Canis lupus familiaris: one gene and its partners. The protein of the gene in region 1 purifies or fractionates together with the protein of each later gene. This does not show direct contact. Links are inferred from orthologs where the notes say so. Each region holds a gene or a part of one and is shown in the gene's direction. Other genes may lie near its edges.

The links. Proteins that work in one complex are often made in the same cells at the same time.
Region 2: the proteins of KRAS (region 1) and C1QBP purify together in Homo sapiens (affinity purification with mass spectrometry; 3 studies listed by BioGRID and IntAct, with this or other methods). This does not show direct contact. The link is inferred for Canis lupus familiaris from reciprocal best matches to the Homo sapiens genes KRAS and C1QBP.
Region 3: the proteins of KRAS (region 1) and RPL15 purify together in Homo sapiens (affinity purification with mass spectrometry; 3 studies listed by BioGRID and IntAct, with this or other methods). This does not show direct contact. The link is inferred for Canis lupus familiaris from reciprocal best matches to the Homo sapiens genes KRAS and RPL15.
Region 4: the proteins of KRAS (region 1) and HNRNPA0 purify together in Homo sapiens (affinity purification with mass spectrometry; 3 studies listed by BioGRID and IntAct, with this or other methods). This does not show direct contact. The link is inferred for Canis lupus familiaris from reciprocal best matches to the Homo sapiens genes KRAS and HNRNPA0.

What each region holds. Positions count from the first base shown.
Region 1 is NC_049248.1:24,260,095-24,263,685, reverse strand, and holds part of KRAS (GTPase KRas), read left to right. Parts: intron 1-1,629; coding exon 1,630-1,789; intron 1,790-3,591. UniProt on the Homo sapiens protein: Ras proteins bind GDP/GTP and possess intrinsic GTPase activity. Plays an important role in the regulation of cell proliferation.
Region 2 is NC_049226.1:31,558,848-31,563,030, forward strand, and holds the start of C1QBP (complement component 1 Q subcomponent-binding protein, mitochondrial), read left to right. Parts: upstream 1-1,361; 5' UTR 1,362-1,445; coding exon 1,446-1,656; intron 1,657-2,216; coding exon 2,217-2,367; intron 2,368-4,183.
Region 3 is NC_049244.1:20,166,949-20,171,303, reverse strand, and holds the start of RPL15 (60S ribosomal protein L15), read left to right. Parts: upstream 1-1,533; 5' UTR 1,534-1,544; coding exon 1,545-1,716; intron 1,717-2,102; coding exon 2,103-2,239; intron 2,240-3,084; coding exon 3,085-3,390; 3' UTR 3,391-4,355. Other genes in the region: NKIRAS1 (NF-kappa-B inhibitor-interacting Ras-like protein 1), read right to left, coding at 484-925.
Region 4 is NC_049232.1:25,501,710-25,505,927, reverse strand, and holds the start of HNRNPA0 (heterogeneous nuclear ribonucleoprotein A0), read left to right. Parts: upstream 1-1,396; 5' UTR 1,397-1,737; coding exon 1,738-2,670; 3' UTR 2,671-4,218. UniProt on the Homo sapiens protein: mRNA-binding component of ribonucleosomes. Specifically binds AU-rich element (ARE)-containing mRNAs. Involved in post-transcriptional regulation of cytokines mRNAs.

The sequences.
Region 1 (3,591 bases):
GTGGGTTTAAATTGAATATAATAAAATGACATCGAGGGCTAATTATATCTTTTCATTTTATTGAGTCTTTGCTGATTACCATGCATAAATTGTCTAAATTTTAAAATAATAATGAGGTATGTAATGTACCCCTGTTTTACAAATGGAGTTGTTGAGGATTAGAACAGTTGAGTAACTTGTTCCAGATTGTGTAGATAGTGGTACTGGAATTGAAACCTTGGCTTGTTTGACTTCAAAACCTGTGCTCTTAACTGCTGTACACTGTGGTCACAAGGCTTTAAGCTAGAGCCATCATAAAAATGAAAACCATCAACATGAATATGAAAAGGTCATAGAGGTGGTACCACTCAAATAGCCTTAAAGATAATCGAATATAGTGTAGAATTTCTTGGAACTGGATAAACATTGGCTTTAGATAGTTAAGAAAAACTCTGGAGTTGTAAAAGATTGAAATATTAGAATAATTACAATCTGTAAAGTGACAAATCTGCATAAAATCGACTACTTTAAAATAATTGTTACTGTATTAAATATACTTTATATTCTATTTCTCTGAGGGTTTATGGTTTTCAAAAAAGTGCATATTAAATATCCCATTCATTAACTATGTTCTATAATAGTGAGTTAGCCTATTTGAGAGGTATGACATTTTATTAAATACATTTCTTACAGCGTGTTTTGTTTGTAGTCTAGTGATAGAGAAAAAGAAATTTTTTTTTAAAATTTTTATTTATTTATGATAGTCACAGAGAGAGAGAGAGAGAGGCAGAGACACAGGCAGAGGGAGAAGCAGGCTCCATGCAGTGGGAGCCTGACGTGGGATTCGATCCCGGGTCTCCAGGATCGCGCCCTGGGCCAAAGGCAGGCGCCAAACCGCTGCGCCACCCAGGGATCCCAGAAAAAGAAATTTTAACAGGTGACTTTTTTTAGAATAGTAAATAGATGTCAGTATGTTAAGCTGTAAAGTTAACTTAGCTATTGAGTAGAGGAACTGGGAATTTGAAACAGTTCTGACTCCATTGTTCCTATTTCATGCTGTATCTTTGAAATTCACCTAAAATTGTGAAAGAATATAATTTTACCCCAAATTAAGAGTTTATGCACATCTTATAGAAAAAAAAAAAAACCAACCCAATTTGTAGAAGGATTTGTAACAGAATAAACAGTGTAGTAAGGTCAATGTTAACCATGTAGAAATCAGAGTCTTTCCAATTGGTGCTCTTTTTTGAGAAAAATATGTGAAAATTATGTCATAAAATTCTATATGTATATAATAACATTTAATATATGTTTCTAAGATTATAATTTTAAAAATTAGGCACAGCACATTTTTAGCCGAATTTTTCAGTATTTCCTGTTTTATCATTGTGACCTACCTGCATATGGACCTATTAAGTTGTAGTTTTACTATATTTCTGGGTATTTTATCTTTTAAGAGACATAGAAATTCTCTGTTTAAGTTGGAGAAGAAAACAAAAGGAAAAGCAAGGAAAATTTGGTGTGGTTGGAAATCAGGAATTAATTAAATGTCTTCTTTCAGCCATGTTTTATAAGACAAAATTATGGATAATTTTTGAAAGATTTATTTTGTTACTAATGTCTCTGCTATAACTTTTTTTTCCTCCCCAGAGAACAAATTAAAAGAGTTAAAGACTCTGAAGATGTACCTATGGTCCTAGTAGGAAATAAATGTGATTTGCCTTCTAGAACAGTAGACACAAAACAGGCTCAGGACTTAGCAAGAAGTTATGGAATTCCTTTTATTGAAACATCAGCAAAGACAAGACAGGTAAGTAAAATTTTAATAAATATGAGTCGATTCTCCATAAACTATATCAAATAATTTTAATCATCAGTCGTAATTTGCTAACATATATTCTGATAACATCATTTTGAGGGCAGGAAGGCAAGAACATTGATAAATGTACATACCTGATTGCATAACTGTTATATCATTTCATGTAACTTAATTTTTCTTCCCATCATGCTAAAATAGAGAATAAAACAATGTTTATTTAGCAAATGTTCTCTTAAGGATAGGAAAGGGCAGCATTTTTTAATCCAGTGTCCATGGTATTGCTTTTGGCTTTGGTTTCTTTCCACATATGAATATTTCTGTTCAACTCAGCACATCTTGCATTAAGCATTCAAGAAATGTAGGGATTTTTTTTTTTTTCAACTGTTATATTTATAAAGTCAAAGATTGGGAACAAATACTGAGTTTCCTATTTTAGAAGTGTTTTGAAGAGTATTATGTCATGTGTTTCTAGATTAAATTCTATTGTATTTGAAGAATTTTACTTTGCTAGAATTATATTTAGATACATTTATTTTTGGAGGAAGTTTTCATTAAGCAAAAAATATTTAGAAAGTAAATAGAAATTCTCAGTTATTCATTTACTGTGGTGTTCTGAGAAAAATTAATGCTAGATTGACTCTGAATTTTAAAAATTATCTTCATTTTTAAAAGTAACTTTTTCTCTAGGTAAAATAATTTCAGTTGACATTATTTAACCTGTTTGTATGAAATGAGAGTTTAACGTATAGAAAATTCTAGAAAGGAATACATAAAGATATGATGGAATATAATTTTCATATATTAAAAATTGATCAGTTATATTCCCTTCAAGACGAACATTTATTTTGGGCTCTGCTAGTTTAGTACCTGTGAACCCACAAAGCCAATTTTGTGGAATTAACTTCTAAATGCTAGGAATTAAGAAAATTGATGAATACTTGTTTAAATGTATAAAAACAGGTATTCTGTAACTTTTATTGAATTTGTAAAAGGGTAAAAATTTTAAACCATCTTAATGGTTAATTTTAACCATCTTTTAGCTAATATTATGTGTCTGTTTTCTTAGTGGAAGATCACATTTACTGCTTCCTGATTGTACAAATTTGATACACACTGAAGAAATAATGAATTCTCTTCTTTAGGGATTAAAAGCTAAATTTCTGTAGCTTGATTATAGTACAAATATCTCATTCTAAAACCTGATTTATAGGTTAAAGAATGATGTTGTATACAGCACTTCACTTGAGTTTAGTGGAATTAAGATTTCATTCAAATCTATTCCCAGGTCCCAAAGACTGGGAAAAGTTTAGTTTTTGTCTTCTTTTTACTGGTCTTCTCTAACCAGACCTCTTGATTTCTCCTATAGAGGAGGTATTCATAAAACATGACTATAATATCGATAGCTTTTCTCCAAACATTTTCTTATGAAAATATTTCAAATGTAAAATAGGACTATTATTAAAACCATTTATCAACATACTGCCTATTACTAAATCATATCATTAACATTTTATTAACCTGCAGTATTGTAACTTTTAATACTTTTTAGACAACATTAGTTAATATTTTAATTTACATTTTATAAAAAAAACATTTTGCCTTATGTTGGTAAAGGGCTGCAAATATAGCAGGGCTTCTTATGCTTAATATGCATATTCAAATCCAGATTCTAATCAGTGGGTGGGTTCAGGTTGTGACCTGTGACCCTGCATTTCTAACAGACTCAAGTGATGATGATTTTGGTACATGGACCACACTTGGGGTAGAAAGACAACAGAAGAGACAGTAAAAGG
Region 2 (4,183 bases), on another chromosome or scaffold:
CTCGACTCTGAGTTTGACAACAGCCAGGCCTCAGGTTTCCAGAGTCTTCTTCAGTGTATGAAAATCCTCTTAAAAAAAATTTTTTTTAAAAGATTTTATTTATTCATGAGAGACAGAGACACAGAGGGAGAAGCAGACTCCCTGCGGGGAGCCCTATGTAAGACTCAATCCAAGGACCCCAGGATCACACCCTGAGCCACAGGCAGACACTCAACCACTGAGCCACCCAGGTGCCCCTATCCTCTTAAATCTTCCCTAACCCTTACTTCCCCAAGCCCTGGAGTGGCTGCATGCCTTCTGCCCCAGGCTCCTGGCCCTGGGCTAAATGAAACCACCACTTAGCTCCAAGATGCCCAGGACCCAACCAAACCACACGGAGACATTCCAAATAACTCCACCAGAGACGACCCCAGGGGCAGCCCCACACAGGAAACTAAAGGATTTGCAGCAAAGGAGGAGGAAGGAAATAACTTCCAAAGCCGTGACTGTCAAGCAGAGGCGAGCAGGTTATTAAGGGTGAGGGATGAATATCCAGGGAGAGCAGCTGTGTTCCCTGCGCAGGGGCGTCCATCAGGTTGCTCAGGTACAAGGTTGAAAACACCTTTACCTGCGCCCTGTCAGGGCAATGAGGCCCCTGCTCCCCCCGGGGGAGACCTTAACCTTGTGAGGGTGGGGCCAGGGGAAGGGGCGATTAGCGCCTCCCCCCCCCCTCCCCCGGGCCACGGGCTGGGGTCTTGGGCTCATCTCCGATGGGAACACCCGCCTTGCTCTTGGACCAGCCCTGGGACTTGTACCGCGAGGTTGAAGTCTGGGATGCGGTTCGGCCGCCCACGTAGTTCTGCATTCCCTTTTATTCCTTAAAATCCGTAACGACTAAGGCTTTTGCATCTGCGATTCTGACACCGCCTTAGGAGGTTCTTCGAGGAGCTGCTAGGAGTAGGGTGTGGGTGCCAAGAACAGCTGGAGGCCCCAAGTGACCTCTCCGGGGCCTTAAGAGCTCTCTTTTTCTGGGCCCCTCCCTCCTCCTCCCAGCTTCCTGGTCCCAGAACAATGCAAAGTCTTGGGAACTGGGTGCACGCTGGTGGGGGGGAGGGGCACACGCTGGGGGCCGTGTGTGTGCGCGTGCCGGGGCTGTGCATGCTGGGGAGGTGCACACAGGTGGTGTGCACGCCGGGGTGGTGTCCACGCTTGGTAAGGGTGGCGGGAATTCAGAGGGCCGGCCCCGGAGCGGAGCTACCCTCGGGGCTCGGGGTCCCGCGGGGAGACCCGGCGCCGGCGGCCCCGCTGACCTCGGCGGCCCCAGCAGAGGGCGCTGCCAGCCCGACGCCCCGGGCCGGCACTGCACAGGCGCGGAAGCGCTCCCGGGGAGGAGCGGGACTTCCGGCGGCGCGCGAGCCGGGATCCGGGCCTGGTTCGTCCTTCGCGCCCGCACGTGCGTTGCCGCGATGCTACCGCTGCTGCGCCGAGTGCCCCGCGCCCTGGGCTCGGCGGTCGCCGGGCTCCGCGCCGCCCCCGCCCTGCCGCCTCCGACCCTGCTGCGGCCCGCGCCCCGGCCGTGCGTGCGGCCCTTCGGGCTCCTCCCTGTGCGCGCGGGCCTCCTGCGCTCCCGCGGGCCCTGCGGCTGCGGCTGCGGCTGCGGCGGGCTGCACACCCAGGGTGAGGCTGGGGCGCGGCGGGGGCGGTGGTCCGGGGAGCCGCGGCCAGGGGGGCGGGGGCCCAAGGCCCCAAACTCACGACCCCCTGCAGTGGACGACTCCAGGTTAATCCCACGTGGCTTGAGGTTTCCTGCCTTAATCCCGAGAGTGGTGGCTCCCTGGCTGGCGGTGATGCTTCTAAACCCCGGCAGCCGGCTCTATCCTGAGCCTCGGAGGTGGATTCGGGGAGGCGGCTGGTCAGAGTTAAAAGCAGGGGAGGTCGTGTGTGGTCTGGGGCGGGTAACGGGAATCGCCTGGCTTCGCTGTGAAATGCGGTGATGGGCTCGTTGCTGGAAGTCATTTTTCCAGAATTGAGCTCAGCCTCCTGCCACGGGTGTCCAGCCCGTTTCCAGGTTGGGAACCGAGGCCCCGTGGGTCTGACTCCGTGCCCAGAGCCTCCGTAACAGCACAAGCATCAGAATCGGTCGAGGCCAGGTTTCCCACAGCAATCACCCCAAGTCGTTTGTTGGTTTAAGACTGACTGGTTTTTCTTTTTCTGTATCTTATGGGTTTTCATTGCAGGGGACAAAGCTTTCGTCGAGTTCCTGAATGATGAGATTAAGGAGGAAAAGAAAATACAGAAGCACAAGTCCCTCCCCAAAATGTCTGGGGGCTGGGAGCTAGACATGAATGGGACGGAGGCCAAGTTAGTGCGGAAAGTAGCTGGAGAAAAGTAAGTGTGGGCTGCAGGGGGTCCCTCTGACCCGGCGCAGCCTCCCCGATCTTCCAGGGATGCCTTAGAGCAGGTCCCCGGACACATGATTTCCAGGTGCCTCATTCACTGCACGCAGATTGGCTGAGCGTGGATTTATTAAGGAAGGAAGGATGTCCTGGTAAGGAAGGCCCTGCCTGACCCAGGCACGCATATCAGAAAGTCTTCTTAAGATTTCATTTACTATTATTATAATTTTTTAAGATTTTATTTATGCATGAGAGACATAGAGAGAGGCAGAGACACAGGCAGAGGGAGAAGCAGCCTCCATGCAGGGAGCCCAACATGGGACTTGATCCCAGGTCCCCAGGATCCCCTCCGGCTGAAGGTGGCGCTAAACTGCTGAGCCACCAGGGCTGCCCTATTTTTGAGAGAGAGAGCACGCACATGGGCAGAGGGAGAAGCAGGCTCTCCTCCTGAGCAGGGTGCCCTATGGGAGCTGGAGCTCGACCCCAGGACCCTGGGATCACCACCAGAGCCAACCCCAGACCCTTCACCAACCAAGCCACAGAGGTGCCCCCGACTGAGATTTGTGCAGTTCTGACGGATTGGGTGCCGCCTCTGCAGTGCAGGGTTCTGGCCGAGGGAAACCCGGCCCTCCCCCTGACATTTGACGTTTACAGTGGGGAGAACCAGCCTGTGGCCCCCATGTGCGTGGATGAAGCCACATGTGCTTAGTGTCCCCGTTAGAAAGGTACAGAACTTTCCATTTGCTTCACCTCTTCACCATCCCTTTTTTGAGTAAAGTTCTGAGATGTTGTGAACTGGGATCTGATTCTTTCTTTGCCTTTATTTGCCATGTTTTTTTTTCCTGCATAACTTCCCCTAAACCATTTTCTGAGGGTAACGTGTAGCCAGTGGAGTAAATATAATGTTCTAGTGAATAGAGCGGCACCTCTGTGCCCAGGTGCTCAGTGTGGTCAGCACCGCGGCACATTAGATAGGTTTTGTAGCTGAATGTGACACCAGCATCCCTGTACGGGAGCAACTCCAAGCACACCGGCAGGGGGGTCCCGAGTACACCCACGGAGTGGGGGAGCTGGCACCTACCTGCGCTGGGCACTCAGACTCGGAGCACAATTTGTCAGGGGAGGGTTCTGTAGCGGAAGACTGTCATGAGGTGGGTGTTTCCAGGCTGCTTCCTCACGATATGGAACTTCCCACAAGTATTTTAAAGAATGGATTTAGGGGGGGCGGGGGCTCAGTGGTTGAGCATCTGTCTTTGGCTCAGGTCGTGATCTCAGGGTCCTGGGATCGAGTTCCAGGTCGGGCTTTCTACTCAGCAGGGTATCTGCTTCTCCCTCTGCCCCTCCCACTGTTCGTGCTCTCTCAAATAAATATATTTTTAAAAACAGCTCTGGCAGCTGTGTTGACGGGGAGCCCCCTCCCCGGGGCCTATCCTGGCCCTCTCATAGCAGCACCCTTGTGTGCCTCTCTTCCCCTGTCCCTCTGGGCAGATCTCATGGAGTAAAGTTCTTACGAGAGGCTACCTGCTGTCCCAGCACCCTCTGCTGCTCACTGCCACCGAATGGCTGGTGGCCAGGAGCCCTGGGTTGGCAGGGTGGGGGGGCAGTTAGTAACCCACTGCGTCTGCACGTGGCGGAGACAAGGAGATAAAGTGGGGCCTGTGGGTTTATTTTTTATTTTTTTTTTAAGATTTTATTTATTTATTCATGAGAATACACAGAGAGGAGAGAGAGAAGCAGAGACACAGGCAGAGGGAGAAGCAGGCTCCATGCAGGGAGCCCAATGTGGGACTCGATCCCAGGTCTCCAGG
Region 3 (4,355 bases), on another chromosome or scaffold:
CACACAACGCCAGCATTTTCTTGGCTTTTCTTCTCGAAATACTCGTACCTGCCAACCAAGTCTTGGCACAAAAATATTTTGCCTTTCTAAAAAAAAAAAAAAAAAAATTGGTTCTGACGTAGCAAATCTAGAAGTCGGTACGCAGCAAAGGCACGGAAACGAAAAGGCGCCGAGCCGCCCGCGCTCGCGGCCCTGGCGCCCCGGTTCCCCACCCTCCGACCCTCCTCTGGGGCAAAATCCCCCGGAACCCGGGCCTGCGGGGGTGAAGTCCGGGGCGGGCGCTCGCCCCACCGCGAAGCCCTGGCAGCGCGAACGTCCTGTCTGGCGGCCGGGGCAGCGCCACGAGGGTCTGTCAGAGCGCGTCGGGGTCCCGGCTACCGGGCGAAGGGGGACGGGGAGCGCCGCCCCGGGGAAGCCGCTGCGGCTCCTCAGGTAAGGAGCCTGCGGTGCACGAAGCGGCGCCCGGTCCCTCAAGACACACACCTGTACACCCGCTCCGCAGGCTCCAAAGACAGCGGCGCTGTGGCAGAGCGATTCCACCCCGGCTTCGGCCCCCTGAGCCCCGCCCCCGACCGGCCTCCTCCCGGCTGCAGGACGGCCTTGGACGCTCGCCCGCCGCCGCCTCCCGAGGACTGCCGCCCTCTCGGCCGCCCCAGCCTCTCAAACTCAAATCCTGAGGATCGGGGGGCGGGATAAGAGGGGAGGCTGCGCCCAATCCCGGCCGAGCTCCGCCCACCGCGGGCTGCACCGAACTACATGTCCCATGAGGCTGTGGGAGCCGCAGCCTTCCACCGGAAAGAGGCTCGCCGCTGTGGGGGAGGAGCCCAAAAAGGATTGTGGGAGAAGGGCTCTTTCCTTTCCGTCTGGCGGCAGCCATCAGGTAGGCTGTGTGTTGGTAGAATTCGCTGCTCCATCCGCCGCTCATCGGTCTTTGCCTCAGCCATCCAGACTCGGGGACCCTGTGTCCTCGGAGCTCCTCCTGCCACCTGTGCGGCGCGAGTTCGGTCAGGATGCGGGGCTGCGCGGGCGTGCGGAGGCGGCCCCCGGGCGGGCTGGGGCGGTGATGTGATGGCGGCGCGAATTCGAGCGGGGCCGGGAGCGTGAAGGAAAGGAAGCCTGAGGCTGAGGGACGGAAGGCCGGGCCAAGAGGGTCCTAAAGCGAGCGAGGCCTGTGGGTTGAGTGGAGTAAGGGCTTTTTCCTCGAGAGTCCTCCTTCAGGGGCAGCGGCTACAGTACCTTCCCTAGGGCATCAGCGAGGTCTCTTTGCAGGCCAGGGCCTTGGGGACGCCGCCCGCTGCATTCAGCAGCCTCCCCGCCCCCATGCCCATCTAGCGCCATCCGTTCGTCCGACAGAAATGTACCGAGTCCCTGCGCTGGGGTCGCAGAGGTGACAGCCGTGCTCCTAGGGCGCAGCTATCCCCTGCAGTTCGCGAAGAGCCATTTTCAGTCTCCGGTTTCCTTATGGCGGGTGGGGAACTAAGATGGACGGACGCGGTCGTCTCATTTTAAATGCATGGTGTTTTTTGTCTCCAGGGTAGGCCGAGATGGGTGCGTACAAGTACATCCAGGAGCTATGGAGGAAGAAGCAGTCCGACGTCATGCGCTTTCTTCTCCGGGTGCGCTGCTGGCAGTATCGCCAGCTCTCTGCGCTCCACAGGGCCCCCCGCCCAACCCGGCCCGATAAAGCGCGCAGACTGGGCTACAAGGCCAAGCAAGGTGAGTGGTCTCTGCATGGATCAGATGATGTTCCTCGGGGAATGTTAGGAAGCTGGTAATTAGGTGTACTGTGGCCCCAATGTCTTCTTTCACTTAAGGTGTTGGTAGAAACTGTCTTCAGCTAGCAACGCACAGAAATTCTTGACCGATAAACACTGAACACAATTGTCTATAAAGTACCAAAGACGTTCTGCGTTACAAGTCTGTAGGAATCGGACTAAAGCAAAATAAATTGTAGAGTGGGAATGAGAAATTATTCTCCGTGTGTACTTCGAGAAACACTGGAATGGGTTTATTTTTAGAGTAAGTCTTAAATGGATATTTGTTTTACCTTCAGATATTTATTATTTGGCTTATATAAGACCACTGTCGATTTGTTTGTATAGGTTATGTCATATATCGGATTCGTGTGCGTCGTGGTGGCCGCAAACGCCCAGTTCCTAAGGGTGCTACCTATGGCAAGCCTGTCCATCATGGTGTTAACCAGCTAAAGTTTGCCCGAAGCCTTCAGTCTGTTGCAGAGGTAAGTGATTTTTCAGTAGCAGTTGTATCAGTCACCTGGAGGTAGTGGAGAAGGATTTGAGCAACTTTTCTTTTTTTTTGAGCACCTTTTCTAATTATTAACTTGTACGTAGGTGAACCCTGTTGTGTTTGTGATTTTTACTGAGCTGTCTTAGTAAAGCATTGCTGTCGGTCTTAGTCTTTGTTACTAATCTGTCTCTGTATAATGGAAAGTTTTATGATTAATGTGGACCTTGGAACCTAAGCTTTTGAAGGGCAGTAAACTTGGTCTTGAGAGCACATCTCCCCTGGATGCACAGAAGCTGTGCATATGGCTGATTTTCTATATTTGGTTGTAAGTTGTTTTTCTGCATTAAATGAAGCTGTGCTCTGTCTGCCCCAGAGGTTGACAAGCAAGGGTTTGTTACCTTCTGTAAGCTAAAAATGTTTTGTTTTTAAAAGAAAAGGCAAAGATGACTTAAACTAGAGACTTGTGGCTTGCAAAGCCTAAAATAATGTGCTAAATATTAGGGTTCTGTATGAAAGGTTTGTTGATCCCTCAACTGTGTTAGGGAAAGACTAAGTTCCTCAATTTTAATAGAAATTAGCATTCGTGCCTTAGTCGGGGGGGGGGGGGGTGGTGATAGTAGCAATGGTTTAAAGTTATAGAATGTTTTGTGTGTTACTTCAGTAAGTCTTAACTGTATTTGGGGTCCTAACCCCTGGGTAAATCTTTAGTAAATATTCAAGCAGTTAGTGAACAGCCTTGTCTCTTGCCTAGTGTGGTAAATTAAAGGGAATTCCTACTTCCTAACTTCCTACTGTGGGAAATGGGAGGCTGACCTTGGGCCTTTTTTCCTGTTCTAGGAGCGAGCTGGACGCCACTGCGGAGCTCTGAGAGTCTTGAATTCTTATTGGGTTGGCGAAGATTCCACATACAAATTCTTTGAGGTTATCCTCATTGATCCATTCCATAAAGCTATCAGAAGAAATCCTGACACCCAGTGGATCACCAAACCAGTCCACAAACACAGGGAGATGCGAGGGCTGACCTCTGCAGGCCGCAAGAGTCGTGGCCTTGGGAAGGGTCACAAGTTCCACCACACTATTGGTGGTTCTCGCCGTGCGGCATGGAGAAGGCGCAATACTCTCCAGCTCCACCGTTACCGCTAATATAAGTAATGTTTGTAAAATTCTTACCTAATAAACAATTTAGGACAGTCATGTCTGCTTAAAAGTGTTCTTTAATTTGTCTGTTAAAATTAGTTGTCTGCAGATTGTCCCATGAATGCATTGTCAAATTATGAAAAGTGCAATAATGTTTGAAGACTATAAGTGATGGTGTATCTTGTTTCTAATAAGATAAACGCTTTTGTCTTTGCTTTATCTTATTAGGGAGTTTATATGTCAGTGTTTAAAATGCTGTTTGGTATAATAGGTGTAAAATAAATTCTGTAAAAGTGGAATGCAGAAGCTAGCCATGTAGATTTGTTGGTGCATGTAATGAAACCTACAGCTTCATGGGGTGCTGAGATGCTCTGGTTTACTCTCAAATGGCCGTTTTTAGGGGTTTGGTAAGAACAACCTTTTTAAACTGGATTTTGCTTAGAAATGTGAAAAAATATCCTAATCTTTAATCGTGATCGTATGCAGAACAGTGTTAAATAGGAAACACATTTTTAGATTGAATCCAGTGTTCCAATTATGTAACTGCTGCTTTGGAAAGAATGCCACCATTTTTAAAAAATTGAACAAACCTGTTGTAAGAAGGTTTTCTTAAAAATGAAAATAATTCTGCACAATGGAAGCAAAATTGCATGGGTTTCCTCCACAGTACCATTGAAATCCACATAAAAAGTGGAGGCTCCTGGTTTTATCCCACAACTTAATGTAGAATACCGAATTTCATACTAAGCAGTCAGTTAATGGTATTTACTCTGGTCTATATGAAAACTGATGGAAATTGAACATTAGGCAAATAAGACTTTACCTTAAGGTTTGTAAGCTAGTAACTAATGCTAGAATTGGGAAAATGGTGACCATCAGCCTTTCAAGTGTGAAGATAAAGTTAACTTTGATCAGAATTTTAAATACTTTATCCCTGGTCTTTATCCACTAGACACCTTAGAGGAAAAAAT
Region 4 (4,218 bases), on another chromosome or scaffold:
TATGTGGCTTTTGTTTCCTACTTTGCTTATTTAGAGTCCCTTCAGAAATTGTATCTAGCCTTTGAATTCCATATTGAGTGCAAGTTCCACTTGTTTCACCATTCAATCCTTAATACTCCAAGGTGCAGGGAGGAGTAATACCTCTTCTTCACTATTTACCACCTGGCTTGGGGCGGGGGGGGCGGGAATCTTGGTCATGCACTGTCTCGTACCAGCGTCCCCCTCGTTGGATCTTGACAGGCACACGAAGGTCCAGGACGCGGAAGCCCTTATACCTGACTTTCTCTTGCACGGGAGGGAGGGTCGGTAAGGCGGTTACCAGGGGGGCGTGGTATTTACGTGCTTCCTTCAACTCCTTTGGCTCCAGGTTATAAAATGCCTTTAAAAAAAAAAAGCTAACGGTTTGGTTGGGAAGGAAGCAACGCACAGGTAACGTCAACATAGAAAACGGTGTGTTCCCCTCGGTCAATGGGCAATGCCAGCTGTGCGCGAGCGAGCGTGGGCTTCGGGCCGGAGGGTGGCGGGGGTCTGGCGCCGCGCCTCGATGGGAAGTCGGAGCCGCTGGTGGCACGCCGCCGACCTCCGCCGGGCCTCGGGCTCGCCCCTGCGCGGCACCACGCGCCCGCGCTGCACTTTACCTGAGGCTCGGGCCCCCGGGAAACCGTCAGTAACCGCCTTTCCCGATCAGGCCTCTGCCCTCCATCTTTGTGCGGGCGGGGCGGCCGGGCTGCCAGGTGTAGCGGCCCCGCCGAACCGCGGCGGGGGAGCCCAGGCCCCCAACCCCAACAGTCGAGTTTTCAAAAAGCCCGCGCGTGGCGCGCCCCAGGTCGCATCCGTTGGGAACTGCCCCCGGCGCGCCCCCGCTGACCCCCCCCCGCCCCAAGCCCGGGACCAGGGGCAGCGTCCGGGCGGCAGGCAGGTTCTGCACCCGGGGGGCGCACCGGGGAGCGCGCCCGTCCAGCGGCGGCCGAGACCGGAAGTGGGCGCGAGCGCATCGCGGTGATTGGCTGCAGCCGCACGTCCCTCAAGGGGCTGGCGCGAACGCCACTGCGGAGTGGGGCGAGGGGATACGGCAAGGGGAGGGGGCAGCACGCTGGGAACAGCCGCGGGGCTGGGAGGAGAGGAATTGCGGAGCTGCGCGGGGAGCCGGGGGCGTCCGTGGTCGGGGCACCCGGGGAGCCGGGGCGTGAAGCCCGGCCTACAGAGGCGGCGGCGGGAGCCGCGCAGGCCGAAGGCTTGAATCGACCGCGGAGGGCGGGGAGTCGGTGGCCGAGAGCGGCGCCGCGGCGCGGTAGGCGGGACTAGGGAGAGCGACGCAGGGATTGGCGGGCGGCGCTGGGCGGCCGTACGTCGGCGGTGACGCACGCCTCGGGGAGGGTGCGCGCGCGTTCAGCGGCCTCTTTGTGTGGTGCCCAGATAGGGGAGCGGAGGCGGCGGCGGCGGCGGCGGCGGTGGTGGCGGCGGTGGCGGTAGCGGTAGCGGTAGCGGTGGCGGTAGTGACGGCCTTGGTTGTCTTCCAGTCTCCTCGGCTCGCCCTCTAGCCAGCACCTCTCCCCTTCCCTCCCCCTTCCTCTCTTCCTCCTTCCCTCCCCTTCCCTTCCTCCCTTCCCCGTCGGTGACGGCGGTGGCGGCTCCAGCAACGGCTGGGCCCAAGCTGTGAGGAGGCCTTAGCCAGCGATAACGGCGACGGCGAAACCTCGGAGCTCGCAGGGCGGGGGGAAGGCCCGGGCCGTGGAGATGGAGAATTCCCAGTTGTGCAAGCTGTTCATCGGCGGCCTCAACGTGCAGACGAGTGAGTCGGGCCTGCGCGGCCACTTCGAGGCCTTTGGGACTCTGACGGACTGCGTGGTGGTGGTGAACCCCCAGACCAAGCGCTCCCGTTGCTTCGGCTTCGTGACCTACTCCAACGTGGAGGAGGCCGATGCCGCCATGGCCGCCTCGCCCCACGCCGTGGACGGCAACACGGTGGAGCTGAAGCGGGCGGTGTCCCGGGAGGATTCGGCGCGGCCCGGTGCCCACGCCAAGGTTAAGAAGCTCTTTGTCGGGGGCCTTAAGGGAGACGTGGCGGAGGGCGACCTGATCGAGCACTTCTCGCAGTTCGGCACGGTGGAAAAGGCCGAGATTATTGCCGACAAGCAGTCGGGCAAGAAGCGCGGCTTTGGCTTCGTGTATTTCCAGAATCACGACGCGGCAGACAAGGCCGCGGTTGTCAAGTTCCACCCGATCCAGGGCCATCGCGTGGAGGTGAAGAAGGCCGTGCCCAAGGAGGATATCCACTCCGGTGGGGGCGGAGGCGGCTCGCGGTCCTCCCGGGGCGGCCGGGGCGGCCGGGGCCGCGGCGGGGGTCGAGACCAGAACGGCCTGTCCAAGGGCGGCGGCGGCGGCGGCGGCGGTTACAACAGCTACGGTGGTTACGGCGGCGGCGGCGGCGGCGGTGGCGGCTACAATGCCTACGGAGGCGGCGGAGGCGGTTCGTCCTACGGTGGGAGCGACTACGGTAACGGCTTCGGCGGCTTCGGCAGCTACAGCCAGCACCAGTCCTCCTACGGGCCCATGAAGGGCGGCGGCGGCGGCGGCGGCGGTGGCAGCAGCTGGGGCGGTCGCAGTAACAGTGGACCTTACAGAGGCGGCTACGGCGGTGGCGGTGGTTATGGAGGCAGCTCCTTCTAAAAAGAAATCTAAATATGCCTGGGAGTGGCTATAGGGGTAGCTCTTCTACACCCCAGCTGGGGTAACTCCTACGTTCTTTACTCTCCCACCACCGCCTTCCCCGTTTTGCCCTTGGGGGAGCCGCTTCTAAGGCTGCTTATCCTTGGGGGTGTTGCCCTATTTGCCTGCCACCTCTCTTGTCTCTCCCTCTGAAGATGGACTCGGCCCCACATACACATTTTTGTGTTACAGTCATTGATGGACTCTATTTTTTTATTATTACTTGGACCTTGGTCGTTTTTATACTAGCAAAATGTCTTGTTTTAATTTGTGTTTTTTTTTTTGGGGGGGGAGGGAGTGAACTTGCTGATTCTGTAGCAAAACCTGGGCGGGGGTTGGGGGGGGGTAGTTTACTTTGTTGTAAGGACTTGATATCTGGCTACAGCGTTTTCTATGAAATCTACTTGGATCCCATGCCTGAAATTTGGACACATATGTACAAAAATCATTTTTACGTTTTATTTTTAATAAATCATTGTGTTTGACCGTATATGTCTAACATTTTTTTTCTAGGATCTATTACGTACCGTTTTAAGGGATATTAGTTAAAATTTTTTCGTGTTAATTCTAAATTCTTGATGTGTACTTGAAGACACTTTTAAAAGGTCCTTTGGTGGCTTTTTTTTTTTTTCCTGTTGCTCTTCTAGTGACGTGTTGAGTTTTATCCCTACAGGCAAAACTTTTGAAGTGGTGGATGTAGTTTTTTAAAATCTTCAAAGTTTCTGTGCATCCATCTCATACTAAGCGATTTGCTTATCTTGACATGGTTGGTCACTTCTTTCTATGAGAATTTACTTCAAAGTATGTACTGGTAGTTCAAAAAGAAATAGTTTGTGTTAAGCATGTGTTTTCATTCATATAAACTGTTTAAAATTTTTCAGATGGCCTAGTTTCATCCCTCTTACTGGTTTGTCTGTAATAAATGGTTACAAAGAAGGGTTATATTTTACCCTTAAACTAAATGCATTTTTGTATTTTCAGAGCAGGTTTAAACGTTTTTTCCTATAGCTGAACTGTTGTCCTCTTGGAAATCCTTCCCCCAACCTTTGTAGCACCATCTACTGGCAGAATGGCAGTATCTCTGCAAAAACCATTTGTTTTAAAAACTTGTTTAGGATAATTGCATCAGATTTAGAAATTTTGCCATCAAAGATCTGTGCAGACTTTGGTTACACGTTTACTTGTAACGAAGATGGGCTTTATGGGAATGTAGTTAACAGTCCATATCACAATTGCCCTTTCTACACAAGATTTGAAAATGTAAACTGCTACGCATAGCTTGGGCAGTGGCCCGAAATTGCTATGACAACTAATGAACCAGCTACGTGTACTGGTATCTTAGGTGCAAGTTGTAAAGCAAAGTATTTGTGTATTCTGCTTGGTTAACAAATGTATATTTGTAGCCCTTTCATGCAATAGAATTCAAGTTGTTGTTTATAAAAAAAAACAAAACAAAACAATGATATAGGAGAAAATTGCCTTCCTGGTTAGAAATATAGAATAGCATCG